Linked DNA regions of Rhinolophus ferrumequinum. The protein of the gene in region 2 interacts with the protein of the main gene of each other region in a pairwise test. Links are inferred from orthologs where the notes say so. Each region holds a gene or a part of one and is shown on either strand. Other genes may lie near its edges.

Evidence for each region.
Region 1: the proteins of MAGED1 (region 2) and RBFOX2 interact in binary tests that used the Homo sapiens proteins (3 or more experiments, as listed by UniProt). The two-hybrid records come from large-scale screens. The link is inferred for Rhinolophus ferrumequinum from reciprocal best matches to the Homo sapiens genes MAGED1 and RBFOX2.
Region 3: the proteins of MAGED1 (region 2) and RBFOX1 interact in a two-hybrid assay, tested with the Homo sapiens proteins (2 studies listed by BioGRID and IntAct). The link is inferred for Rhinolophus ferrumequinum from reciprocal best matches to the Homo sapiens genes MAGED1 and RBFOX1.
Region 4: the proteins of MAGED1 (region 2) and BHLHE40 interact in binary tests that used the Homo sapiens proteins (3 or more experiments, as listed by UniProt). The two-hybrid records come from large-scale screens. The link is inferred for Rhinolophus ferrumequinum from reciprocal best matches to the Homo sapiens genes MAGED1 and BHLHE40.

Annotation. Positions count from the first base shown.
Region 1 is NC_046293.1:10,469,432-10,476,401, reverse strand, and holds the start of RBFOX2 (RNA binding protein fox-1 homolog 2), read right to left. Parts: upstream 3,001-6,970; 5' UTR 2,909-3,000; coding exon 2,717-2,908; intron 1-2,716. UniProt on the Homo sapiens protein: RNA-binding protein that regulates alternative splicing events by binding to 5'-UGCAUGU-3' elements. Prevents binding of U2AF2 to the 3'-splice site.
Region 2 is NC_046284.1:83,519,918-83,527,625, reverse strand, and holds the start of MAGED1 (melanoma-associated antigen D1), read left to right. Parts: upstream 1-4,706; 5' UTR 4,707-4,777; intron 4,778-7,708. UniProt on the Homo sapiens protein: Involved in the apoptotic response after nerve growth factor (NGF) binding in neuronal cells. Inhibits cell cycle progression, and facilitates NGFR-mediated apoptosis. May act as a regulator of the function of DLX family members.
Region 3 is NW_022680357.1:7,883,625-7,890,453, reverse strand, and holds the start of RBFOX1 (RNA binding protein fox-1 homolog 1), read right to left. Parts: upstream 3,012-6,829; 5' UTR 2,915-3,011; coding exon 2,771-2,914; intron 1-2,770. UniProt on the Homo sapiens protein: RNA-binding protein that regulates alternative splicing events by binding to 5'-UGCAUGU-3' elements. Regulates alternative splicing of tissue-specific exons and of differentially spliced exons during erythropoiesis.
Region 4 is NC_046300.1:4,920,329-4,927,438, forward strand, and holds the start of BHLHE40 (class E basic helix-loop-helix protein 40), read left to right. Parts: upstream 1-4,104; 5' UTR 4,105-4,370; coding exon 4,371-4,450; intron 4,451-4,613; coding exon 4,614-4,683; intron 4,684-4,946; coding exon 4,947-5,054; intron 5,055-6,015; coding exon 6,016-6,139; intron 6,140-7,110. UniProt on the Homo sapiens protein: Transcriptional repressor involved in the regulation of the circadian rhythm by negatively regulating the activity of the clock genes and clock-controlled genes.

The DNA.
Region 1 (6,970 bases), on a different chromosome or scaffold from region 2:
TGGACCCAAAACCGTTTGGTATTATTAATACAAAGAAGTACAGTTCCTGTCTCCTAGAAGCTTAGTCTCACTAGGGAAACAAGAATAACAAAACAATTAAGGGACAATATACATGATGCATGAACAAGCATTGGATATAAAGGATACAAGAGGGTCTGACTGGTGTGAATCAACTGGTGTTACTCCCAATTATACCTCAAATTTTAAGCTCCCCAGAAAGCCTTCCTTGACCATTTCAGCAGGAATGACCATCTCCGTCTTCTGGACTGAGTGGCACAAATCCTCTAAACCATGCAATGAATGCCTTTTGGCATGCATCTACCCTGTGGTATCTCTACTCCTATTTCTCTAAACTTACAAAAAAAAATCATATATATATATATATGTGTGTGTGTGTATATAAATATATATACACACACACACATATACACTTTTTACAACTTTTCACCCATTTTGTCTCCCTACCTAGATTGTAAGCACCAAACACTTTAAGGTCAGGGAACTTGACATATATTTTAGAAGGTAACTTAGAAATCATCATGTATGAACACTTTATTTTACAACTAAGGAAATAGAGGCCCAAAAAGAAGGGATTTTCCCAGAACCATACAGCTAGTTGAAGGCAGGGGACTAAATCAATGATGATATGAATACCTGTGTGACATGGTATGTTGGAAGTCCAACAATGAGAATGCATAAAGTGAAAAATAAATAAAGATCCACAAATACACAGAGTGCAAAAAACATTCTCTGTGGGATGGTTCTAAGTCGCCCATCTGTACCCAAAGGACCTAATCCACTCCTTCCTCTGCATACCCCAGAGTCCCTATACACTGTTCCACTTCCAAATATTACTGTCCTTAGCCAATTTGAAGGCAACCAGCAAATAATGGGCCCCAGGAGGAAAGGTGGGGGAAAGGGAAGAGTCTCGCTGTTAACTATGATTGACAAAACAATAAATGAATACCGACAGACACAGATACATGCTCACACCACGCAGAAAACGCTCAGCAGCACTCATCCAGTCTTCCCTCCTTCCCATCCAGTACTAACCCACCTCACCTGAAGTCTCCCCATATTCCTTTATATATATTTTTCCCATGGCCCTGAGCTTTCACTTCTCACAATCCCTCTGCCTGACAGAGTTCTAAAGGAGAACAAAAGCAAGCAAACAAAACAAAAGAATTCAAAAATAAACACCACAGAGGATCACTGTACCCAAGTCAACAGAAGTAAGAGTGGCCTCTGCAAAGGAGACCAAGAAGCACACAGTAAACACGCCAGGCTTAACTACAGCTCCGTCTCTAACACAGGAAGTCAGGCAGAGCCTTGAAAAGCAGGAGCAGAGCACAGGAAGTCTCTTAGCACTGCAGAGATTTCCAAGAGTGGTGTAATGGAGAGAGCACAGGAATAGGAATTAGAAGAGTAGGCTTCCAGCTCTAGTTTTACTACCGAGCTCACTGGGTGGCCTTGGGCAAGTCACTAGTCTTCTCGTGACTTTTGAGTCCCCATCTATAAAATGAGATGGTTAAAACATTTGGGAACTTGAATCCAATCCAGAAAAAGAAAAAAAGAAATTATTGACTTCCCCCCCTAAAAAGTGCAGGTAAACTATTTTGCACAAGTCTTCCAAGTCTACCCAGGTTTAGAACCCCTGGAAAAGATGACGTCGCTGGTCCCTTCTAACATTCTATGATTCTAAGAGAATTAGGCAGATGTCTAAACAACTGCTGGTACATTAGCACCCACCCCCAGCCACCACCACCACCACCACCACCACCATTTCATAGCAAGTATTTTCTGAACAAAGACCAAATCCTAAAACTAAAGCTTATCAAGATTTCACATTCTTCCTCAAATTACAAAGTCAACTGACATCATTGCTCCATTTCCCATTCCTTACCCACATCAATCAGCTCATCCTTGACTCCACAACTCAGAATCCAGGCTTCTAACAGCCCTATACCTGTTCTTTCATACCCCAAAACATTACAGAGCTAGTCGGTGCCCTAGCTATGGAAGAGGCCACTGGCAAAGTCCAGGAGGGACATGCCCTGCGTCTCTCTTCAGACTCATTAGCATGTTTCACAAAGTTAATGCGACGGAGCACCACGGTGTCCCCACAAGACTACCACACGCCGCGTACTTCTCACATTCCTGGTGGAACTGATTTAACCCACAATCGAAGCCACATCCCCTCTGGGCTCTCGAGGAGTTTTCTGGCCTTTGATTCCTCTCTTTTATTATGTGCCACTCCCCTTCCCCATCCCAGTGTGTGTCCCCGGCTGCCAAAAGGTACTCCTCCTCGGGAGGTGTCCCACCACTGTCCCCTCGTCCTCGACTCAGTCCAGCGGCTCTCTGGGCTGCAGACCCAGGATCTCCCGGCTTTCACTCCACCCCAAGGAACTAAGGAAGGGTTGGAAGAAATGGAATCCATCTCAACCATGTTCGATTTCCCCCCGAAACCCATCCACGCGTCGTGTCCCCTTGTGCCCTCAATAATCAGGACCCTCGTGGGCACGCCAGGGTCCCCCGGCACACTTCGCCTCCAAGCCGGGGCTCGCCCCACCTTCCAAACAGGCCACGACCGGCCCCCTCCCACTTCCAAGCCAAGACCCCGAGGCCCTCCCCTTTCCAAGCCCCGGGAGCCCCGGGCCGCCCCCCGGGACCCGCGCCGCACCCCCGCCGTAACCGGGCGCCCGTCCCGCGCGGTCACCTGCATCCCGCCGCCGCCGCCGCCGTCGGCCGCCGCCTCCTCGGTGCGCGGCCGCTTGCTCAGGCCGGGCTCGGCTCCGTCTCCTCCCCCACCGGGCACCGGCAGCTCCAGCTCCGACTCCCGCTTCATCCCCCGGGCAGCGGCGCCGGGCCCGAGCTGCGATGGCTGTTGCGGCTGGGTGCCTTCCGCCATCCGCCCGCGCCCCCCTCGCCTCCGGGAGCCGGGCGACCCGCGACAGGCCACCTCCCCCTGGGCCTCGGCCCCGACAGTCGCGACAGGCGGGCGCGCGCCTGCCCCCGCCCCCGCGTGCGTGCGTGCGTGCGCGCGCGCGAGCGCGCGGGCCCGGCGCTCCTCTGCGACTGGCGATCGGCGTCCTCGCTCGCGCGGTCCTCGGCTGTGGGAGGCTGGCGGGTCGCGACGGGCACTGGCTCGCGCCCCCACGCGCACACGCGACCCACGGCCTGGCCCGCCGCGCGCCCCGCCTCACACTCACGGAGCTCGCCCGCCGGCCCGCGCCCGCTCCCTCACACTGTCCCTCACAACACGCCGGGCCGAGGGAGGAAAGGGGCGGTCCGGGCTCCCGAGCCTTGGGGAGGGGTGTTTATTTGGGGGGAGGAGGGGCTCGAGGCCGGAACGAGCTGACTGGCCGGGATCCTCCGACCCGCCACTGTGGCAGCACCGGGAAGGCGGGGAGAGAGAAAGGAGGAGGGAGGGACCGGGATCTGGGACTCCAGCCCGCGCGGGAGGCTGTGGCGGGGGTGGGGCGGGGAGGGCGTGGCGGGGGTGGGGGCCGAGCCTGCGGAGGGGGCGTGGCCAGCTCCCCTCGGCAATCTCCGCCGCCTCCTCTCCTGGCGCCCGAGGGAGGCCGGGGAGAGAGCAGGACAGTTCGGGAGTCTCCGCCAGCGGCGAGGGATTGTCCTGGAGGCACCGTGCGGCTGGATTTCCAGCTAGCGCGGAGGGGGCGGAGTCTGTTTCCTCTAGGGGCGGGGCCATAGCCTAGGACAGGCGGAGCTTGAGAGGCCCGAGGGCCCCGTGAGTTCCCGACTAGGGAACCGGCACTCTGTGGGAGGGGGCGTTTAGCCTGCTCCCTCTCCCGCGGAAGAATGAGGATCTCGATTTGGAAGGTCCAGGAATGAAATCACCACTACATGGCTCTCCCCAATTCTAAAAGCTTTGACTCTAATAATAATAATTATCCCATTCCTGATCATCTTAATAATAACACCTGATGTTTGTAAGAGCTTGCACAATGCAGTTTGCACAATGCGTTCACAGACCCGTTTTGAAGCGATGGTATGAGCAGAGTAGATACCAGGAACTCCTTTACGTTGATGATGAACGTGAAGCTTCGTTAAGTCCTGGAGCTAAACAGTGGCAGATCCAGCTCTCAGGACATCAGATCATCTTTTCTCTACGCCTTGCTGCCTGTGTAACACTTTGTTAATTTCAACTTTCTGCAATTAGAGATGCTGTGCAACAGCTTCTTTCTCCTACCAGTCTGTAAGGACCAAAAGGGCATCTATTTTCTCTGGGTTCCATATTGTGCCCTGTACGTTACAGGGATATAGTTATGTTGCATGCATGACTTGGATTCTACAAACGAGCTTCATCTCTTTGGACCCCTGACCATCATTTGTAAAATGGGGAGATAGTTTAGATCAGCGGTTGGCAACCAGGGGCAATTCTGTCCTTTCCCCTCTCCTCCAGGGCATTTGTCAACTGTCTGGAGACATTGTGGGTCATTACAACTGAGGGGTGCCACTGGCATCTAGTGGATAGAGACCAGGGATATTGTTCACCATGCTTTGATGAACAGGACAGTCCTCACAACAGTTATCCACCCCAACATGTCAACAGTACTGAGATTGAGAAACCCTGAGTTACATGATTTCTAAGGTCATTTCCAGATGGGTCTAGGAGTTGTCCTTTGACTTGGGTTTAACCCGCTGAAACAGTACAATGGTAAAGATCCTTGCTTTGGAATCAGACCAACCAAGGTTTGAGTCCAAGCTTTCCCATCTACCACCCATGTGATGTTGGACCAGTGATCATTTAAGAAGTTCTATATAGAAGGGGAACAGGGCCTGCAGACTGTTTGGAAGGGAAGACTGAAGGACTTGTCCTGAAGCTGAGTTTTCCTAGCTCATTGTTTTTTACCTAGTCTGTGTCCTAGATCAATAAAAATAGCCAAGTTTTGGCTCTGCCCCTGAACCAGTCATGATGCCGTGTGAAAGCTACCTAGCCTGTCTATGCTTTAGTTTCTTCATCTGAAAATCAGGATAATAATACTACCTTCCTGAAAGGGTTCTTGTGAGGATTCAATGAATTATCACACATTAAGAACTTCGAACAGATTGGCCAATGATAAACACTTAATAAATGTTAGCTATTATTATTGTTATTACCATTATTTTATTCACATCTTAAATGTGAGCAAGAAAAATATTCTTATCAAGATCAAAGGATATCATTATCACTACTACTGGTTTTTTTTTCCAATTACATAAAGTGGGGGGTGGGGGCCTGCTAGAGATTAAGATGGGCTGACAAATCACCCCAAGTCACCCCTTAGTGCAACAGCTATATTAGGCAAGTCATTTATTTTCACTAAACCTTACATTCCTTGTTTGTAAGATGACAATACTAGTTACAGTGTTGTTCTAAGGATTAAATGAGACAAAATAAAGAACAACAATGTAAATAAATTAGGTGATAAATATTGACCAGAGCACGGCGTCGAACTGCTTAATAAGTGGTCAATATTTATCACCTAATTTGTTCAGTGATGCTAAGCCGCTGGTCAGGGGTTCATGCGGCTGGAAAGAGAAGCCCAGGCAGCTTCTACTACTGCCATTCGGGCCATCAAGTTGGAAGTCCAAGTGCCTGAAAGGTTGTACTTGAGCTAAATTAGTCCCAACCTACGGCAGGGATCTCCAGTTGGCAGTGCCCCCTGGGCAGATAGGCCTTAATCCTGTGCAACCAAGCATGCGCATTATAGCTCTAAAGAAAAATCAGGATGTTTCTTGGTGGTCTATGGAACAACAATGGCTTCTTTTGTCTAACCTAGGGACGTCAGTGGTTGGTTTTCTGAAATTTTTACTTATTAAGCTGGTGTCTTGAAAATTCTTCTCCCCTCCCTACCTGCCTTGCCAAAATACTAGAATTTAAATGACTCTAGGTCCTTCCTGGGCTGCTCCACGACCCAGCAAGAAATGAGATTTGGTATCAGGGCTGCTTGTGACTCAAATTATTGTAAGTCAAGTAGCACACATTTCCCTGAGAAATAGAGCGATGTGGTACAGGAATGTTTGAATGACCAGGCAGAACAAAGAGAAATTGAACCTTGTCCTGTAAACAAGCATTAAGCTTTTAGAGAGAGCTTGCGAATAGAAGCCTATAAATAGTAGAAGAGGCCAAATGAGCCTATAGTGACACAAAGACCAGGATCGTTTCTTTCATGTACATCTGCAGCCACCTCTGTGGGAGCAGGTGGTTATAAAATATTACAGAGGAAGAAAACAATTAAAGAATATTTTCCTAGAAAGAATTTTTAGCTGCAGAAATTATTGAAGTCCTAATGTTTATTTATTTATCCACTTGACAAACTATGGGCAAAAGTCTGGGATATCAAAAAGAATAAAATTGATTCCTGGTACTGAGGAGCTCAGTCTGGGAAAGAAAGGATGAACAAATAAAAAGACAAATACACACCAGAAACTAATATAAAATATTGAATGTCAACTGTAATTGAAAAATTAAATACACAGAGAGTGCCAAAAAAATGTATACACATTTTAAGAAAGGAAAACTGTATTAAAATTATTCTACTCAATATATACCAATAACAAAAGATGAATACAAATTACGTTTGATTTCTGCAACTACAAGGGTGCTCAAAGTGGTTCCCATCGGCATCCAGACACTTCTGCATTACGGCAAACTACTGCCTGAGCAATGTCGACCAAAGTGTCCACTTGTATACACTTTTTTTGGGCACCCCAAGGTTGTGTATGTGTGTGTTTTAAGAATTACAATGCACCATGAGAAGGAGGCATCTCTCATAGCGGTTAAGAACATGGACTCTGGTATCACACATGGGTTTGAGTATGACTTGGCCATATATTTGACCTTGTACAAGATCCTTACCACCTCTTAGACCCAGTTTCTTCATTTGTGTGGCAAGCACTGGTAGTTCCCAACCCTTATATCCTCTTATTCCTAATCAGCAGAACCCCCATTTTATTCAGGGAAGAA
Region 2 (7,708 bases):
GGATCCTCGAATCCAAAAAGCAAATAGAACACCTAATTATCTCAACCACAACAGACCTTTTCCAACACATATTGTATTGAAGCTGTCAAAAATCAACGACAAAGAAAGAATCCTCGAAGCAGCCAGGGAGAAGAAGACGGTAACCTACAAAGGCAACCTCATTAGCATATCATCAGATTGTTCAGCAGAAACTCTACAAGCCAGAAGGAAGTGGAACCAAATATTCAAACTATTGAAAGAGAGAAATTATGAGCCAAGAATAATATACCCAGCAAAGATATCCTTTAGATATGAAGGAGGAATACAGAACTTTCCAGGCATACAGAAGCTGAGGGAGTTTTCTAATATACAATCTGCACTGCAAGAAATACTAAAGAAGGCTATTCGACCACCATCAACAGGGACAACGTGTGCCAACCAAAACATGAAAAGGGGGAGAGTAAAGGCCTGAACTGGAACATGGGAATGGAGAAAGTATGCATGCTGAAGAAAGTGGAATACTCTAAATATCAAACTTTCTTTTACATAAATTTAAGGGTAACCACTCAAAAAAAATCCAGAACTATAATATATACTGTAATAAAAGAAGAAACAGAGGGAAGCATCATAGAATATCACCACACAGAAATAAAAGACAACAATAAAAAAGCGAAGAAACAATGGAGAAACATTCTTACCAGAAAACTGAAGGTAAAATAATAGGAAATCCTCACATATCAATAATCACCCTAAATGTAAATGGACTGAACTCACAAATAAAAAGCCACAAAATAGCAGATTGGATCACAAAACTAAGCCCAACCATATGCTGTCTCCAAGAGACACATCTCACGTACAAGGACAAGTGTAGACTCAAAGTGAAACAGTGGAACTTGACACTCCAAGCAAATGGTATCCAGAGAACATCAGGTGTAGCTAAAGTTATATCAGATGAAACAGACTTCGAGGTGAAAAAGGTAACAAGAGACAAAGATGAACATTTCATAATGGTAAAGGGGATTACACAACAAGAAGACATAACAGTCATCAATATTTATGCCCCCAATCAGGGAGCACTGAAATATACCAAACAACTACTAACAGAAATAAAGGGAGAAATTGACCAAGACACAATTATACTGGGGGACCTAAATACATCATTGACAGCTATGGATAGATCATCCAAACAGAAAATAAATAACAAAATAGCAGTCCTAAAATGGCACATTAGATCAAATAGACATAATTGACATATATAGAGTACTTCACCCTAAAACATCAGATTATACGTTTTTTTCTAGTGTACATGGAACATTCTCAAGGATGGACCATATATTGGGACATAAAACTAGCCTCAGCAAATTTAAGAAGATTGAAATCATACCAAGCATATTCTCTGATCACAAGGCTTTGAAATTGGATGTCAACTGCAAAAAGAAAGCAGGAAAAAACACAAAAACATGGAGATTAAACAACATATTTTCTTTTATTTGTTGTTTTTGGTTTTTTTTTGTTTTGTTTTTTAATTTATTGGGGTGACAATTTTTAGTACAATTACATAGACTTCAGGTGTACAATTCTGCATTACATCATCTATAAATCCCATTGTGTGTTCACCACCCAGAGTCAGTTCTCCTTCCTTCACCATATATTTGACCGCTTTACCCTCATCTACCACTCCCCTCCCCTCTTACCCTCTGGCAACCACTAAACTATTATGTAACTTTACTAACAATTGTCATCCCAATAAACTTTAATTTTAAAAAATCATATGATTATATCAATTGATGCAGAAAAAAAATTTGACAAGATACAACATCCATTTATGATTAAAACACTTAATAAAATAGGTATAGAAGGAAAAAACATTAACGAATAAAGGCCATATGTGACAAACCCTCAGTTAATCTCATAATTAACACTGAAAAACTGAAGCCCATTGCTCTACGTTCAGGAACACGACAGGGCTGTCCCCTATCACCTCTGCTTTTCAACATAGTGTTGGAAGTCCTTGCTAGAGCAATCAGGCAAGAGAAAGAAATAAAAGGCATCCAAATTGGGAATGAAGAAGTTAAATTGTCACTCTTTGCAGATGACATGGTGCTATATATAGAAAACCCTAAAGACTCCACCAAAAAGCTATTAGAAACAATCAACGAATACAGTAAAGTTGCTGGCTACAAAATCAACGTACAAAAGTCCATTGCATTCCTATATACTAACAATGAAATCTCAGAAAAATAAGTTAAAAAAATTTCTTTTGGAATTGCAGCAAAAAGAATAAAATACCTAGGAATAAACTGAACCAAGGATGTGAAAGATCTATATGCTGTAAACCATAAAACATTTTTAAAGAAATTGAAGAACACACAAAGAAATGGAAAGACATTGCGTGCTCATGGATTGGAAGAATCAACATAGTTAAAATGGCCATAATACCCAAAGCAATATACAGATTTCATGTGATCCCCATAAAAATCCCAATGACATTTTTTAAAGAAATAAAACAAAAAATCTTCAGATTTGTTTGGAACCACAAAAGACCCCAAATAGCCAAAGGAATCTTAAGAAAAAGAACAATGCTGAAGGTGTTACACTCCACGACTTTAGCTTGTACTACAGGGCAACAGTAATCAAAACAGCATGGTATTGGCAGAAAAACAGACACATAGACCAATGGAATAGAATTGAGAACCCAGAAATAAACCACATAAATACGGACAGATAATTTATGACAAAGAAGTAAAAAACATACAATGGAGAAAACACAGCCTCTTCAATAAATGGTGCTTGCGGAATTGGAAAGCCACGTGTAAAAGAATGAAACTGGACTGTTATCTGTCACCATGTACCAAAATTAATTCAAAATGGATCAAAGACTTAAGCATAAGACCTGAAACAATCAACTGCACTGAAGAAAACATAGATACTAAACTTACGGATCTTCGGTTCAAAGAGTATTTTATGAATTTGAGTCCAAAGGCAAGAAAGTAAAAGTTAAATAAGTGAATGGGACTATATCAAACTTAAAAGCTTCTGCACAGCAAAAGCAACCATTGACAAAATAAAGAGGCAACCAACTGAATGGGAGATGATTTTTGCAAACAGTGCCTCCGATAAGGGGCTAATATCAAAAATATACAAGGAACTCATGCAATTCACAACAAAAAAACAAACAACCCAATTGAAAAATGGCCAGAGGACCTGAAGAGACATCTCTCCAGAGAGGACATACAAATGGCAAATAGACATATGAAAAAATGCTCAACATCACTAATCATCAGAGAAATGCAAATAAAAACCACAATGAGATATCACCTCACCCCAGTCAGAATGGCTATCATCAAGAAGAGAAATAGTAACAAGTGTTGGAGAGGCTGTGGAGAAAAAGGAACCCTCATACACTGTTGGTGTGAATGCAGACTGGTGCAGCCAATGTTCATGGCATCTTTATTTACGGTGGCCAAGAAACGGAAATAACCAAAATGTCCTTCGATAGATGAATGGATAAAATAGTGGTGGTATATATACACACAATGGAATACTATTCCGTGGTAAGAAAAGATGAAATAGGACCATTTGTGACAACATGGATGGATCCTGAGTGTATAATGCTAAGCGAAATAAGTCAGACAGAAAAAGCAAAGAAGCATATGATTTCACTGATATGTGGTATATAAACCAAAAACAACAAAAGAACAAGACAAACAAATGAGAAACAATAACTCAATAGACACAGACAATAGTTTAGTGGTTACCAGAGGGTAAGGGGGGAGGGGGGTGTTAGATGAGGGTAAAGGGGATCAAATATATGGTGATGGAAGGAGAACTGAATGTGGGTGGTGGACACACAATGGGATTTATAGATTATGTAATACAGAATTGTACACTTGAAATCTATGTAACTTTACTAACAATTGTCACCCCAATAAACTTTAATTTAAAAAAAAAATAAGAAGGAAACTTAAAGTCTCTTAGGAAAGAAATCTTGGCCTGTATCAAAAATAACCACAAAAGAGAAGGACTGGAGTCCTGATTTTGAGCAGAATTGGTTTTTGTAGGTAGTGGCAGCACGTAATTCAATATTGAACTTTTAACCAGAGAAAGGATTATTCTCATTATTGTACTGAAACTTTTTTTAAGCTGTCATTTTCTTCATTTTTTTTCCTTTGGTGGGGGGTGTGGAAGTATCCAAGAATGTTTTCTAAATGAGTTCCCATTTATTTATTTGGAATTTTGAGTCTGGCATGTAACTCTTTGGATACCATTCCAAGACAAAAATGATTCAGATTTAAGATTTTTTTTTCAAAAAGTTGAAATCAAAGTATGCTACTAATAAAAATTAACTTTATTTCCTAAAATGGTATGCCAGAAAACAGTGACCCGGTATGGTAAATATGAAACTGCAGACATTCAAGAATTAAGGGACTAAAGGCACGGGAGGTATTTAAAAAGCTGAATCACAAGGACAGGTGACAGATTGGATAGGTGGGGTTTGACAGAGATACTGCAGAGTGCTAGGATTTGAAAAAAGTTGACTGATTTCCAGCCGGTTTACATCTCTATCCAGGTTCTGATCTGGTGAGAGAACCAATGAGATAAAGTCTTGCAAGAGCTTGCTAGAGAGGCACAGGAAGCTGCCTGGAGTGAAAGTGCGGGGGTGGGGGTGGGGGGTGAGGGGTGAAGGGTGAGGGGTGGGGGTTGGGTGGGTGGCAGCAGAAGCTAAAGCTTCCGCCAAACAAAAGAAAATACCACTTCCGGTCATACAGTAGACGCGTCGCTGGCTTTCTTCATCAAGGTGAGTGTAAAGAAAGGGACTGGTAATTCTCACAGTGAATGCTCAAACATGCCAAGGAAGCTTTCCTCCTTGCTTCAACATGGGGTGGAAAGAAGAATTCATCCCCACAGTATGGAGGATATTCCTGATGGTTGTGGTTCTGATTGTCTCACTATCTCCTCTCTTAATCCTCCGGAGATGGCAGGCCGTTATCCCCTCCCTCTTCTGACTTTTGTGGTACTTTTATCCCTCGTCACTCTTCACATCTCCTCTTTATCCTGGATCCTCTTCCAGATCTTTCTGAGCCTAGTTCATTCCCTGTACCACAGATTTTTCCTATCTCTTACTCCTACCTTCTACTCAGTCCCCTTTAAGCCTCAGAACTTTTGCAACCCCCTTCCCCCACTCTGAACCTACAGTCTTCCCTTTTTCCCCTTCTGACCCAGTATTTTATCCCATTGAAGGCTTCTGGTCTCTCCTGAATCTGCCCTGCAGAGGTAAGTGAATTACATACTGTAGAAATTGGGTGTGATTTCAATTTCAAGGTCAAGAGTATTTTCTTTTAAAAAATACGCAAAGAAACAGATTTTAGAGCCCTAAGAGACAAAGGGGAGGTGTTCAAATTATTACGTCCTTTTATTTATATTTTTACTCTAAAAAAACACACATCAGATATTGCACTGGTTTCAGTTGTCTAGTCATGACTTTTTAAAAAAAATGTAAAATTTTGGCATAGAACTGAATCCCCAAATTTTTATGGTATTGCAAACATAGCGTGTTTTGCCTAAAACCTGGTGTCAGCTTTAGAAGATGGAAGATTTCCCACCCCTTTTATAACCTCTCATAGAGCAAAAAGGTTGACAGATATGACATCCAATTACACATGTATTATTTCATGAGTCGGGTTTATTATGCAAATCCTTTTCTGGTCTCTGGTAGTAACATTGAACAGCAAACTGGAAGAGTTTTCAAGTATTTTTTTCCCCAAGAGTTTTGCAAGTATTATCTGTTTTGTTGCATTGTGAGCTGTCTTTTTTCCCCATTTGTTGCAATGTGAAATGTATTTTTCTGTTTCCTTAACCATGTGTAATTTATCTGATGAGAACCCTAGTTAATAATCACAGTTTATTATTTCAATTCTTTACCCAAGAGAAGGGAAATGATCATTAAATTTATAATGATGTTCAGGGTTTTTTCAGGCTCTAAAGGAGAATTGAACCAAGAATCTCCTTGAACAAGCATTTATTCCTCCTCTTCTAACTAGTGTGTTATGTTTGCCAAAATAAGAGGTGATTCTTTTTTCTAGGCCAGGTATAGTTTTCAATTCCTTTAGAATAAACAATGAGGCAGAGATTTTATGACGCCAAAACACTTAGGAACTTTTTCAAAGGGTATTGCTGATGTCTCTTTATTCTCTATTGAAGTCATAATTATACAGTTTTAGATATCATCACATTGGCTGCAACCCACTGTGCATGCATCCATCTATTCATTCAGTAATTTTTTTATTGAATAACTTTTATGTGTCAGACAGTGTTCTAAGCATTGAGGCTACAACAGTGGAAAATAAAAACAAAAATACCCCATAAATTTGGGAAAGTTTTGTTTTCATTTGTTTCAAGGTAGTTTTTGATTTCCTGGTTTTATTTTCTCTTTGACCTATTGGTTGTTTAGTAGCATGTTGTTTAGTCTCTACATATTTGTGTGTGTGTTTCCAGTTTTCTTCCTTTACAATTTATTTCTAGCTTCATGCGATTGTGGTCAGAAAAGATTTCAGTCTTTAATTTATTGAGGTTTGTTTTGTGGCTTAATATATGATCTATCCTGGAGAATGGGCCCTTGAAAAATCTGTATCCTGCACTTTTTGGATGAAATGTTCTGTAAATGTTTATTAAGTTGATCTTGCCTAATGGGACATTTAAGGCCATTATTTCCTTATTAATTTTCTGTCTGGACGATCTACCATTCATATGGGTGAGGTATTAAAATCCCCTGCTGTATTGTATTACTGTGAATTTCTCCCTTTATGCCCATTAACATTAGCTTTATATATTTAGGTGATCCTATATTGGATGTGTAGATATTTATGATTGTTAAATCCTCTTCTTGGATTGACCCCTGAAAACAAAGTTTTCAAACTATAGCTGAGAGACAGACAATAAATGAATATATATTAAATATGTAATAGGTTGTGATGGGGAGGGGCTGTCCTATTTTAGGTAGGATGGTCAGGAAGGCCTCCTGGTAAGGTGACATTTGAGCAGAAACCTAAAGGAAGTGAGGGCATGAACTATACAGATATTAATGGGAAAACAGGATATGTCTATGCCAGTGTCTCTGCATTTGTTGTTCACTTTGCTTCCTGCACTCCCCACTCCTCCACAGTCACTTTTCTGCATAGTGTTAAGCAACACTCTGCATAATCAACTAATCTAATCCACCCACATAATTTCCTCATATTCTCTTTTTCCTAGTTAGCTTCTTGCTACCATTTAGGTGAAGAGTGAGTTACCAGCCCCAGTAAGAAGACATGTATCTACCTCCATCCTCAGTCTGTTTCTTTGTGGCACACTGTGTGCTATCCTACAGCATATTTACTTACCTCTCTCATTGCTCTTATCACTGTGTGTTCATTATATGTTGCCCATAAATACTTGGTATGGTAAATGGAAATGAATTCAGTGCTTGTGTGTAACAGACAAGCTTTTAAATATAGTTGGCCACCTAGTGTTAAAAACCACCCTCTGAGGTCAGTATTATCATTGTCATTTTACTGATAAAAACAAGACTCAGAGGTGGATAGTAACTTGCTAAATGGTGGTGGAATTCATGGAGTTAGGGTCTGTAAGATACTCATTCCTGGCCTGGTTCTTTCTTTCTATCTGTCTTTCTGTTTATTAATAACAAATAGAAAATATATAGACTATTTTATTTTATTATTTTACAAAACAT
Region 3 (6,829 bases), on a different chromosome or scaffold from region 2:
CACCATATGAAACTTCATTCCAGGAAATTATATTTCGGGGAAGACTCGGTGGCCCCCAATCAGAGTTCATGCATTCAGAAACCAGAACGATAAAGGCTCCGAAATAAGACAGCTGTGTCTTAATTATTCTCTTATGCAATTGGTGATCTGGATGGCAAAGCCTCCTGAAATACGTTTCTTTCTAAATAATAATAAAAGGATTCCAAAGGAGACGGCATTTATCATAGAGGCTTCCTGAGTCATCCACTTGATCAGCTTCCTCTGAGACTACAGATGAACTTTCTAATCATCAAAATTAAACAGAGATACAATGATAGCTTTCTGGATTAACAGCAGATAGGAAATACAGTGGCCCTGTATAGATGAATGGTGTACAGATTGTATCTGTAAGTGGTTTGTGGTGATTCAAGTGAACTATTTCACACCCTCACTCAGCCAATGGTCTGGACTGCTAACGAAAAACAATGACATGAGCTTCTGTACAAACTGTGATGACAGCAATGGCTGGGAGAGATGACCTGAAGGTATGGCTCTCTTATCCTGACCGGAAGCCTTTAGAAAGGCTGGGAGCTGCGGCCAGAAAACCTGATTCTCACGAAATCAGGCAAAAATAAATGTCTGCTGGTACTATTCTTCAGGCATTTAGAGAAACACCAGAAACATACACACAGGCACCCCCTACACACACACACACACACACACACACACTGCATTCTGACGTGTGTCACAGTGTCAGTGTATCCACTGTGCCACTCAGAGCATCACATCCCCTTCAAGAGGGGGTTGCCTTCCACAGCATAAAATCCACCTCCGTCTCTGCATATGGCACCATGATGCTGATTTAGTCACTTCTAAGGACTTGTTATGGCTGCCACCATTCCCTTGGATCTCCCCTTTTCAGAGCAGGACCGTTTTTCCCTTCTGGAAGAGCCAGCCAGGCAGATGCTGAGAACTCCTGCATTTATCCTATATACTTGTCCTTTCCGTGGCAAGAATAACCTCCCACTCAAAGTCACTGAATTCTTTCCTAAGTTGTACCTAAATGGGCAAACCAATGTTATGATCTAGAAGGAAGAAACATTATTTAAAAATAATAATGAATAAAGAAACTGTGAGAACACTACAGACCTACAGCTCTCCTTGTTAGGTGATGCTATTCCAATTGATTAATAAATAACATGAAAGAAATGAATATAGGATGTCAAAGATCAACTCATAGTAATACTTAGATTAAATTCAATTGAGGCTTTGCAGCTATAGAAATGCTCAGTAGGATACTCTTCTGGTGGGTAACTACACACACACACACACACACACACACACAGACACACACACACGGCGCTCACAGCAAAGGGCACAGAAATGGAAAAGCAGATGAATCCTCTAATATCTTACCAATAGGTTTTTGGGAAATGTTTCCTGGCACAATTTACTTAATGAGAAATGGACCAAAATAATATTTAAAAGAATAAAGCAATTTGTTTCCAAAATATTCAAACAACACACCAAAAAAAAAAAAAAGGCTGTTCTCAACAAGACTTGCAACAGAAAATACAGCTAAAAACATTTTCTGGAGGCAACCAACTTGAACCCCAATTCCCTAAATGTTCTAAACAGAGTCTCGGCATTTTATGAATACATGTCTTCCTACCACACATGGTACTGACATGGAGATTCTTTGGAGAAGGAGGTCCCCTCTGCACACTTGTAAAGGAAGTTTAGTGGACCACAAGCACACATAGTTAACTCTTGAAGGCACTCCATCAGAAAACAGATAAAAGGACTATAATCACTGCTAACTCCTCATCCAGAAGGACAGGAATCCCAGGACTGGAGGATTCTCATCTGCATGACAAAATCCTTCTAACGCTGCCAGCCACATCCACAGCCCCTGTCCAGTGAGGAAAAGCCACATGTCACCTACCCCCAAGGCAATCCTGAGCTGTTCCCCAAACCCAGGAATCAACTGAGGTGGCAGCTTTCCTAGTATAAATCAGGAAAAGAAGACAGGGAAGGTCCAAGGGAAACACCCAGGGATAGAGAGACGCACAATGAAAGATTCTGAAATGTACACAGAATGGAAAATAAACACAGAATCCCTCAGCAAGACCATTAAGGGAGATTGGAGGAGGGAAAGGAAAAAAAAAAAAGCCTTTACACATAGCAACAAAGACAGCACCCTAAACAGCTCTTCTTCACAGCATTGCCTAAGAATGTGGAGGCAGATTCTGGGGCTGACACGCTCCAGAAACCCAAAGGCTCCCATTCCAAAAGCAACTGAATATAGCACCAGCCAGACAAACTTAAGAAAACAAAAAGACTGAGCATACACACACATACGTATGTGGGTTTTTCTTTCTCTCTCTCTCTCTCTCTCTCTCTCTCTCTCTCTCTCTCTCTCTCTCTTTTTTCCCCCTCCCTATTAAAGCCGCTAAATTAAAACTCCAAGCACACGCCTGCCTCCACACAGCTCCAAACTCAGCATCAAAGGGTTTAGCTCCAGATCACCACGGGTCGGTCACTGGCGCGAGAAAGACCGGAGTCAGGAGCAGGCGGTTTGCAATTTTAAACTCCCAGTACCCAAGCTCGGCGGAAGCAGGCGTTCAAAGTAGTCACAGAGGTGCAAAAACAGCTGGGCGCGGGGTACCAGGGATCCTCGGAAGACTAGGGGCTGCGATGCACCCCTCCCATCCAAACCTACGAGTCCCCTCCCCGGTCCCCTCCAAGGTACCAAAGCGATGCAGGTCCACGGGAAAGCCGCGTGCCTTACCTGCTGTAAGTACATAAAAGTCAAGGCACACGAGAGCTGGGGACACATGCCCACGTTGGGGAGCGCCACGCAGGTGGCCCCCGTCAGAGGATGCTGCATTTTGTCTCTCTGGCGCCCGCCGAGCACGAGTGGGGACGCTCGCATGCAATCACGCCGTTCTTTGCCTGGTCGCTACAATTTTTTTTTTCCCTTTTTAATTTTGCTGATTATCTAAGTCAAACCCCGGTGGCTGTCTCTCTCTGCTCTTCTCTCTCTCTCTCTCTCTCTCTCACCCTCCCTCCCCACCCCACCCCCCCACAGCACCCCGTGTCCCTCCCTCCCTCCCTCACTCCCTCCCTCGCTTTCCTTCTTCCCTTTGGGTTTGCTAGATCCCAGCATTCATCTGCCTCCAACAACTAAGACACTTGAGAGGGGCAGGAAACTATTTTGTTTCTTTCATGGCTTTATTGGGGTGTGTGTGTGTGTGTCTGTGTGAGTGTGGTTGTTGGGCCTGCTTTGTGATGTCTCTTAAAGTGGCAGGTGCCCCCGCCCTCCAGACCCCCAGCCCCAGAAGATGACAGGAACAAGCAAAAGCAACTTCAGTGAAAGGTAGAGGGGGTGGATGCCCTTCTGTAGATGCTGAGTTGGGGGGTTGACAGAGCTAAGGGCCAGGTGGGGGGGAACGGAGAAGGGGGGGTAGAGAGAGAGGGAGAGAGAGAGAGAGATTTGACTCACACCGAGGCTCACTCCGTTGGTCCAGATGCTGCGTGCCTTCTCATTTGTCAAATGGGTCCAGGGCAGGGTTGGGTTTTTTTTTTTCCTTTTTCCCTCCCCTCTGCCTTTTTTTTTTTTTTTAAACGACTCACCAAAATTCAAATTGTGTTTGCTAAAAATCTCCGTGGGGCGGGCGAGGCAGCCAGCGAGCGAGCGCCCCACATCGCCAGTATCCAGACGAGCCGGACAATTCACGCGATCGCCCAGCTGGGACCCAGAGTCTTAGATTTCGGTGGCGATTTGTTTGCCCGACTCATCCGCAAATCAACCCACAAATGGGATTCCCCCTCGTAAAGTGCTGCGAGGACACTAGGGGCCGGGGGCGCGGGGAGCGGGGGCTGCTGGCGCACGAGGTAGGGTGGTTTCTGGGGCCCCCACCCCCTGGCAGGGCGGCCGCGGCAGCGATGCACCCCCAAGCATTTGGGGCGCAGCTTTTCCTGCGCGCCTCGCCGCAGCTGGGCGGGCAGCAGCCGGCACACCAACCAGCCCGGAGCCGCCGAGCGGGAGAAACCGCCCTGGATGGCGTGGAAATCAAGCCTGTTGGACTAACTAACGTGCCAGCCCGGGGTGAATGCAAGGGGGGCTTCTCGCAGCCTAGAATCCCACTCTTCTCAAATTATAAATGCACAGGGTGGTAAGTCCGCGTCTGATAAGAGACTACTCTGTGGGCTGCAGCGGGCAAATGACATGGTTTATTTATTTCATTTTTTTCTTGCCTGTCCAGCCCTCCTCGGCCAAATCAGCATGCTGCTCCTGCAGAGCGGTCCCCACTCCCCTTTATTTTATGAAGTAATAATTATTCATTAGTAGATTTCCTTAGTCTTTTGGCAATAAAATAGGATGTGATCTGCAAATCAAAAGAAAATATTAAGACTCTACCACGTCCTGGGTCCCCACAGGAAAAAAAAAAAAAAAAGCACGTCCCTGGCGGCCGTCAAGCCATGATCAGGGATAATGCCATATTTTGTGATATAGATTTTGACCCAGTGAACGGATTTTCGTTTGCTTTTTCAGAGCTAGAGGCTGTCTGAACAGCCTTTGATTGTTAGGTTCCTTGCGAGAAGTCTCCCTGCGGGCTTTCCAAAGGCCTGTAGGACAGAGATGCCCTAAAAGTGCGGGGACCCTCAGGAAAGAGCGTTTAGGGCAGGACTGGGGAATGGCCACAGGGCAGCCCAGCTGACCCCTTCCTGTGTCTTACTGGGACATTCAGCCAAATGACAGCTTCTGAACTGAGCCATCAGCTCGCAAGGCACTTTGCAGGCTAATCAAAATGCCTTCTGAAGGAAAGGAAATTCATGATTCCGCAGCTCCATTTTCTGTTTTTCTGTTTGCAAACGTCATCAACAACTATAAAGTCTTCACTCTGCCAAACACTAGGCCCCAAAAAGGCAGTTTCCTTCTACTTCCTCCCCTTGCAAACAGTCCCTCCAACACGATGGGACTCACGCATCCTGTCCATTTAGAAGGAGCACAGTAGCACATTTAAGCCCAAGCGAAAGTTGAGATGGGGGTTAGGGGAGTACAGGCTGGTATTTTATGCTGGTTCTTTTTTGGGGGGCTGGCAGTAGTTAGTTTGAAAAATCCTTGCTATATATGTTGTCTCAGACATCACATTCAGCAGACAAGGTCTGGTTTGCGGATAAAATGTTTCTCTTTTTTTCTTTCTTTCCTTTCTGTCTTTCATTATTTGCTTTTGTTTTTCATTTTTTGTTTTTCTCATTTTGCAATTCACAAAACCAAAGTGAAAGGCACTCCACAAAACACAGATGGAATAAACGGTCAATCCTTGCTCTCCCTTTCCCATTCTTTCCTTTTGCCTCCAACAACTCGTTGTACTGACTGGGGTTTGCCCTGCTTTCCTTTATTGTTTTTCTCACTGGCATTGGGAAAGCCTGCAAATGCCCCCAAAAGAGGACAGAATTTTCCTTTCATTCAGCTCATTTTCACGAGAAACACAATAAATAATACATGGCACTTTAATAAGACCTTATCTGAATGGCTTGATGAAAAACAAATACATTATGTAAGGAGCCAATAACTGTTCTCGACTGCCCTGAGCCAAACCTGGTTTTTCCAGTCCGTTTTCTCCCCAAACTTTTAAACCCTCAGTGGTGACTGGATTCCTACAGACCCATTTTGCAATAAGGGTTCAGACTTTCGCTTCAATGTAAGTGTTCACAGTCGGATGCCTTGGAAGTCTGCAAAGTGAGACAACGGAATCCAGACCTTGTAAATGAATCTCCAACCGGTTCCGGGCCAGCCTCCATTCTCTACAGAGCCAAGTCCGAACATCCCTGCCCAAGTGCATGCAAGCACGATTATGCAGAGACAAGTACACACCCCATGCACAGGGCAACTGCAAACAGTGGCTAATATCAGTGGGCCTTAATCATTGGATGACCCCAGACCAAGTGGTAACGCCATATCTGTGACTATTGTTTACTTGATGACAGGACTCTGCCAGCCTTTGCAGCATCTGGGGATGCTGAACTTGAATTCCACCTCAACAGAGACTGAGGAAGAGCCACATCAATGTTACCAGCTCCCAAACGATTCTCCTACATAGGTAAATGGGAGGAGTGGGGGTGGGGAAGTACCCTCCTCTCTCTACAAGAATCCCTGGGCACTCAGCCGCTTGAGTGTCTACATCACATGCACGTTCAAGGACCACCGTCCTGACTTTCAGCTACCAGGACCCTTCATTGCATGGTGCACATACCCTGCAGGGAGCAGAGACAGTGCCAGGGAGCCTGCAGTCAGCAATGCCACCTCCAAATGATACTTCCTTAGGCCACTGCCCCAGTTTTAATTTGATCCACACAACAGTACTTGTAATGTTTCCTTCACTCAAATTCGCCAGTTATTCAAATGAATAGAGGAAATCGTAGTTGTTTTTTTTTCTCTCCCTCTCTTAATTCCTTAGTATGACTTCCTAAGGCTGTCCAAAAGGCAGACATTTAGAGAAAGGAAGGTTTTCTCTGGGAGTTGCCAAGCCTCAGTGCAAGAGAAACTCCAGGGAGACGGGAGGAAAGGATTTCTTACTCCGGGACAGTGTCAAGGAGTCGCTTACAAATAAGCTGCTCTCACTTCCTCATTTTCATATAGGCAGCTACATAGTCTCAAGCTTCAGAAAAGGGAGACTAAAAGTATCAGGAGAAAACGTCATTATTTACTGTCTCTATCACAAGCTCTTTGAGTCACCTACTTGTTGGAACACTTAGACGATATGTGGTTGGCGCTGATTGCATTCCGGGCACTGCTGGGTCCCCAGGGCAGTATCAGTGCGGGGAGGCGAAGACGCCTGAC
Region 4 (7,110 bases), on a different chromosome or scaffold from region 2:
ACTTTGAAATCAAATTCTCTAAAGCTATGTCAAAATAAAATATTTTAGAACTATACATAGAAAGCATCCCCATGAATTCTAACAGCTGGGATAAATGCATTAGGATACACAGTGTTATTTATAAAAAATTATTTTAAAAAGAAGTTCACCACATTACTACTAGCAATAGCTTAAAATCCAAAATATTTTGCAATGCTTTAAAATCCTCTAAAGAACCCTGTTTCATAATCAATAAATCTTCCTTAGCATTTGCTAATTTAACCAGTATAAGCCATTTCAGCAAATTCTAAAAAGGGATGAAATCATAACAAGGATTATCATAACAATGTTAGATCAGGTATACCGAATGAGCTACATTCTCTGAGTCCATTAACAAAATCTTTAGGAAATTAAGGGGTTAAAAAAATTTTTTGAAGTTCCATAAATAGGCAAAAAATTATATCTGAGCAAGAGAAGTGTGAGTACACTCAGGGGGCTGTGAGAGTAACGGTATAGACTGCCCAACACACAGCATAACCAACCAAAACGCTGAGCCCCACAAGGAAAGAAAAGAAAAATCGGTCCTTGCCTTGTACAAAATTATGTTCTCTCTACACTTGGAAGAGACAAAACAGAGAGAGGGCTATAAAATGTCAGGATTACCCAGTGCAGCTGGTCAGTACTACATTGCACAACTCTAGAGGGTGCTCTGCAATGTGAACGGCTCCCCCTGGAGTTGAGCAGTGCACAACCCACACAACTCTATCAGGCAGCCTTGAGTGTAGTAATTAAAAGCACAAGCTTTGAAGCCCAACAAACCTGGGGTCAATTCCAATTCTAATTCCAGGCTGTATAACCTGGGGCAGGTTATTTATCGGCCCCAAGCCTCAATTTGCCCAAGGGAACACATTCTATATTCCTAGGACTTAGTTCAGTACCTGGCACACAGTGGTTCTCAATCAGTATGTGTGCTATAGATGTGAAAATGAGCTTTATAAGGTGGTAGTGAGGAGTAAATGGATTAACATGTACAAAGTTTGTATATACAGTCTAAAAACTAGCACACAATAAGCACTAAACAAATATCTATATAGGATGACAAACTGAAATACTGAGCTTCTTCAGGATGGAAAGATGCATGCTGGGAAGGAATTGTTTTGTTTGATAAAAAATAATCATAGGACGACCAGATAGCTCAGACTGGTTAGAGAGCTGTGCTCTTAACAACAAGGTTGCTGGTTGGATCCCTACATGGGCCACTGTGAGCAGCGCCCTCCACAACTAGATTGAAACAACTACTAGTCTTGGAGCTGTTGGGTCCTGGAAAAACACACTTAAAAAATAAAAGTTAAAAAAAAAATCATAAGCTATTGATAGAAGAAAACAGATTAAAAAATAATAAAATCTGGGTATGGTAGAACTTCGTTAGAGTGAGGATAATTCTTGAAGCTTGAGAGTACAGCTGAAACAAATAAAAAGTAGGAAATGCATATATTTTGTTATTTCAATTGTAGATCAAGTAAGGGCAAGAAATATTGATAACTTCAACGAATTCTAAGAAAATTGTCAGAGCCCTGAACCACGGAAGCAGAGAATTGTGGGTTCACTCCTGGCGTGGGGGGGGCGGTCGTGGGGGAAGCAGGGGACAGCTGAGGGGGACATGTGTTCCTTCCTCCCCGCTGTGCTTATTTCCTGGTGGAATTGTGGTTCTGACGCAGTCATGACAACTCTTCATCCTTATTAAGGTCGCACAACAGAGCAGGTCACCCTAGATTGAAAGCACAAACGCAGGACAGACTCCAGTCGCCTCCTTGGCCTGTGGTTCTGCTGCCCACCTCCTGGCAGGAAGTGGCGGTGCAGTCATTCCCTCCAGAGAGATGGCTGATAACAAAAGCCAGCAGAAGTACATTCCGAGAGGGAGGGAGGGATCGCTGAGCCCCCAAGTGAGGTCATGCCAGTCAGCAGTTAGAAAAGCAGGCATTTCTCACACTTGTTAATGAGCCTGACGCTCGTGAAACATAAACAGGAAGTGGGAGCTCTCCAAAGCGGCCTGAAGGAAATCCACTCCCAGTTTGGTCAACGTGTGAAGCCCAGTTCTCTGGATTGTCAAGGTCATTGCCAATTAAGACCGACATCCTCCCCGCTCCCCCCGGCGCACCCGAGGCGCATCTGGACCCAGCCCAGCAGTGACCCCCCCCCCTTTTGCAGTCTTTCCCACAGCCAGGTCACTCGGCGGCGGGGTGACTGACCCAGGCGGGGGAAAGGCTGACAGTCATCTCTCAAGTCCCGGGCGGGCGGCGGGGCAGGGCAGCGCAGAGGTCAGTGAAATCCCCGCCGGGCCTTATTTTAGTCATGAATTTCCACTGGCTCCCTCCTCCGACTGCATCAGCGGGACTCGCGCCGCTGCCTTGGCCTTTGAGCGGTTCTCCCTGCTCCAGGTCGAGTGAGAAGGTCACAGAGACCGGACTTTTCCGGGGGAGGTGACGAGGTGGGGGCCTCGGCGAGCGGCCTACGGAGGATGGCAGAGACCTGGGGCGCGTGGAGGGGGCGTTTGGACCCCGGGCTTCTCCACTCCTCCTCTACCCAGGCATCTCAGTTCGTATGAAATAAAATTATAAAACAAAACCACAACGCCGCAAGAAAAAACGGGGGGAGGGGAGAAATTATTTTCTCTACCAGCCAGTGGCCCCGATATAATTTTCCCAGGCTGCCTTCCCCTCGTTGCCCAATCTGTCCTCTTCGCAGCGGTTCCTGTAAATTCCCTGTAAATTCAGGGGCAGAATCTGTGTTTGATGCCCCCAGTTTCTGTACAACGGGTACAACGCCGGGCACAGAGTAGGGGGCTCGCTCAACGACGCGTGTAAATGCTACGATTCACGGTGACGGGCAGGCTTCTCGCCTCTCCCCCCTCCGGTTCTGCGCGCAGACCGCACACAGCGCCGCCAAGTTCCTGGCAGGCATAAGACTTGGCCGACCCGGCGGGCACACCGAGTCCTGGGGTTCGGTCTCCCAGCCGCGCACAGGGCCGTGCAGCCCGCGACGTTGCGGCCCGAGCCCTAGCCACGTGAAGCGTCCCGCTCCGGCCGCTGCAGGGCAGGCGTCACCGGCGCGGTTGTGTAACTCTGCAGCCGGAGGGGAGGCGGCCCGGGAGCCTTGCTCCCGAGGGGGCAGAGGAGGGAGGAAAGGAAGGGAGCCGCGCCGGGTGTCTTTTTGTGCTTGACTAGTGAAGTGGGTGGGGGGCACCCGGGGGGTGCGCACGTGGGTGCCCGCGGCCTGCAGGCTACGCCCGCCAGCGGAGCTCGTGGGAGCCAGGGACCGCGGCGCACACGCTCCGCGGTCAGGTGCGCGCAGCGTGCACGCCGGCGGCCTCGGCTGCCCCTGCGCTTGGCCACCAGCCGGCTTCCCATGGGGTGACATCCGCCCCGCCCCTCGGCCCCTCCCCACGGCGGGCAATTCCTGGACGCGGGGCAGCGGGGTGGGGGCAGGGAAGCTGAGACGGAAAGAAACCCCAGCCTCTGGGGAAGGCATGGGGCCGGGCGACTCCCTCTGCAGCGCGCGGGTTCCTGCGAGCGGCCAGGCGGGGGAGGAGGAAGAGGGCTGGGCTGGAGCGAGCGAGGGGATATTCCTCTCCCAGCTTGAGTCAGACGCGGGCGGATCCGTCCTCCCCCGTCCCCTCCCAGGAGACGGGAACTTACTTCATTTCCCTGGGGCAGGTTCGCCCACGTTACCACACACCTCCCCCCCGGCTCCCCTTCCAGCTTCCGCGCCCCTCACCCGGCTGGGCAGGACCCAGGCCGCGCCGCCACCCCCTCTTCGGGGAAAGGCAGCCGCACCGCAGACACCTGGGGGCCGGGACTGGGGGTGGGGGCCCCTCGCCGCCGCGGGAGCGCTGTCCAACACGTGAGACTCATGTGATGAAGCCGGGGGAGGGCGGGCAGGTCGCTCCTTCCCTCCCCGGCAGCGGCCAGACGTGCCTGGAGTCACAGGGTAGAACACGTAGCTCCAACCCACCCACTCGCTCCCATTTAACCCAGCCCGCAGCCTCTCCATTACTCCACGGCTCCCCGCCCTCACTGCCCCCCCGCGCTTCCCTCCCGCCTCCCCGCCCGCCCCACTTCTCATTCACTTGGCTCTCACGGCGCAGACGGCACAGGGAGCACACACCGCCAGGCTGTGCGCAGAGTCGGAGCCAGAGGCCGCGGGGACACCATGCACGCCCCCAACTGAAGCAGCAGCATTTCGTAGCCGCAGCTCCCGGCAGCCAGCGGATTTCAGGGAGCTCAGATTCAGAGGAAACCTTGCGGAGAGAGCTCCGAGGCCCCCTCCAGGACAGTCCTCACCCGACGATCTCCTGCAGACAGGAGCGCGTTGTGGCCCCGGTTCGCCGTGCCATGGAGCGGATCCCCAGCGCGCAGCCGCCCCCCGCCTGCCTGCCCAAGGCGCCAGGACTGGAACCTGGAGACCTACCAGGGTAAGTGGGCACCCCTGGCCCCTCAAGCCTCAACTCCAGCCCCGCGTTCTGCTCGGCGCTCTACTTGGAGCAGCTCTGGGCGCATCCGGGGGTTCCTGCCCGCCAGGCTCTGCAACCCGGGCTCACACAAACTCACGACCCTTCCTGGCCCCTCTCCCTGCAGGATGGATTTCGCCCACATGTACCAAGTGTACAAGTCGAGGCGAGGAATAAAGCGGAGCGAGGACAGCAAGGTAAGAGCCCCGCGCCCCTGGGGACCCCAGCCCCTAGCATGCGCTGAGTTTCCAAGAAAAGTTTTCTCACTCTGAGGCTGGAGGGGTATGCGTGGTGCGGGCTCGGCGCTTCTACCGAGTGGCTTGGAGAAAAGGGGGCAAGAGGCGGTTCTGGGTGTGACTCTGCTACGCTGCCCCGACTCTTCTCGCGCACCGGGGTGGGAAGGAGAGGGGCTTCTCACCCCCTTCCTTTGGTGCCCACTGCCTGCCCGTGCGCCTTGCAGGAGACATACAAACTGCCGCACCGGCTCATCGAGAAAAAGAGACGTGACCGGATTAACGAGTGCATCGCCCAGCTGAAGGATCTCCTACCCGAACATCTCAAACTTACAGTAAGTGAGAAGCTGGCGGCTCTCCAGGCTGGCTCCTCAGCCCAGAGGGCGGGCGGGGGTCACTCGCCGCCTGCAGGCCCAGCCGGGAACTGCAGGCCCCTCAGGGAACTGCCGAGTAGAGAGCTGGATCGGAGCCCGGGTGGCTCTATTTGGGGGTACCCTTCCCCAGCCCTGGGATTTTCTGGCAGCCTCACGCAGAGGAGGTGAGAACCGCTTGGACTTCTCCAAGTTGCCTCCAACACCAGCTGGCCTTCTTTTTCCAGAGTTTTAGATTTTCCCGTGTGGTGATTTTCAGGGTTCTCGAGTTTTCCTGACTTGAGCAAACCAAGCAACACACAGATCTTATTTACCCCTTTTTCTCCTTTTTTTTTTTTTTTTAAGTAATAGGACTTGTTTTGGTGTGTGATTTTTACATCCTGTCCTTTCTTGGGAGTAGCCTACAGCTTACTAACTTGGCAGACTTTGGTTGGGGAAAGGAAAAAAAAATAGTATTTGAGGAGGAAAAAAAAAGACTGGATGAGTTGGGAGTTATGAACGGGTGTCAGGAAAGAAACGAGGGAAAACCTCTTGGCTGTAAGACACAGTAGAAATCCCTCCTCGGCTGACACCACTGCAGAGAAATGTTCACTTGATTCCCGAGTTAAGGTCAGCAGCCACTGCTGGAGAAATTTATCTATCAAAGATTTTTTCCTGAGGTAGCCGCTGCTTCTAAAATGCCTCCAAAGATAGGTGGCACTCATTTTTTTATTCTTTAATCCGATATATATGTGTGTGTGTGTATATATATATACATATATATACATATATATATAATCTATAAATTTTAAATTACATTTAGCTAGCCAGGAAAGGCTAGTTCTTTTTTTTTTTTTTCCTTTAGAGACATTTCTCATTGCTAATAAGTGTCTGAGAGGTGGGACTTGTCTGAGCTCATTGCTGACGGAGGCTCTTTTGATTCCAGACTTTGGGTCACTTGGAGAAAGCAGTGGTTCTTGAACTCACCTTGAAGCATGTGAAAGCACTAACAAACCTAATTGATCAGCAGCAGCAGAAACTCTTGGCCCTGCAGAGCGGTTTACAAGCTGGTGAGTGCCTGCGTCTGGCTGTCATCTCCGGGGAGTTCTCGTCGCACAAACAGAGCCTGTGGGCTCAACATCTGCTATAAGAAACAGTGCTGCAAGGAATTGCTTGTGCATGTTTGTTTGGGGGAGATGCCATTTTATCGTTCCTAAAAGGTCAGACTTCTTATTTGGAATGCTGCTGTGTGCCACCTGGCATGAATACACATTAGTCAGATGATAAAATATTACTGTGACATTTTGGCTTAAGAGTTTCTGGGTTCTGGGAGATTTCCCCCCTCCCTTTTAAAATGCCAAGGCACCTATAATTTGCATCGTGGGTGTTTTAGTTGGTCCTCTTAGCCCTCTTTCAATGGAGAATAAATCAGAGGTATGCCCCAGTGTTTTCCTGTTTCTGTACTTCCTTATCTCTCGGTGTGTGGTATGATCCTGGCAGGATGACAGCAGGAGTTTTTCCTGCATTTCATGTGGTTCCCTGAATAGCCACTAGGCATCTTGGTGAATTGCACAATCTAACGAAACCACTGAAGTTTCATCATTCGTTTCTACTCTCTTCCAGAGAATCACACTCACCTTCTAACCTCCTCGTCTCCCTGCTTCCAGATAATACTGTACAGACTGGGGAAATTCTCCTGCCCACTCCCTCATTCCATTCTTCTCTGCCATCCTTGCCAAGCCTAGTGGGATGAGAATCACAAAAATCTAGCATGTGCCTCTGCCAGGTCCCCCACTGAAAATAGAAAGATGATCGTACCTAATGTCTTGGGGGTCCTGGATCGAATACATAGAAAAGGCTTAGAAAGTGATTAGCTCCATTTCAAGATGACTGCATGACTGCAAAGGGTAGAAGTCATTGAAAATCAGTTTACTTAAGGTGACATCGTTCGCTCATTCTTTCTCATTTTATGACTATCTCTGTCCATCTTGCTATGATGAGATTGATGTTCTATAAATTGACTCTTTGGTTTGTAAACAAA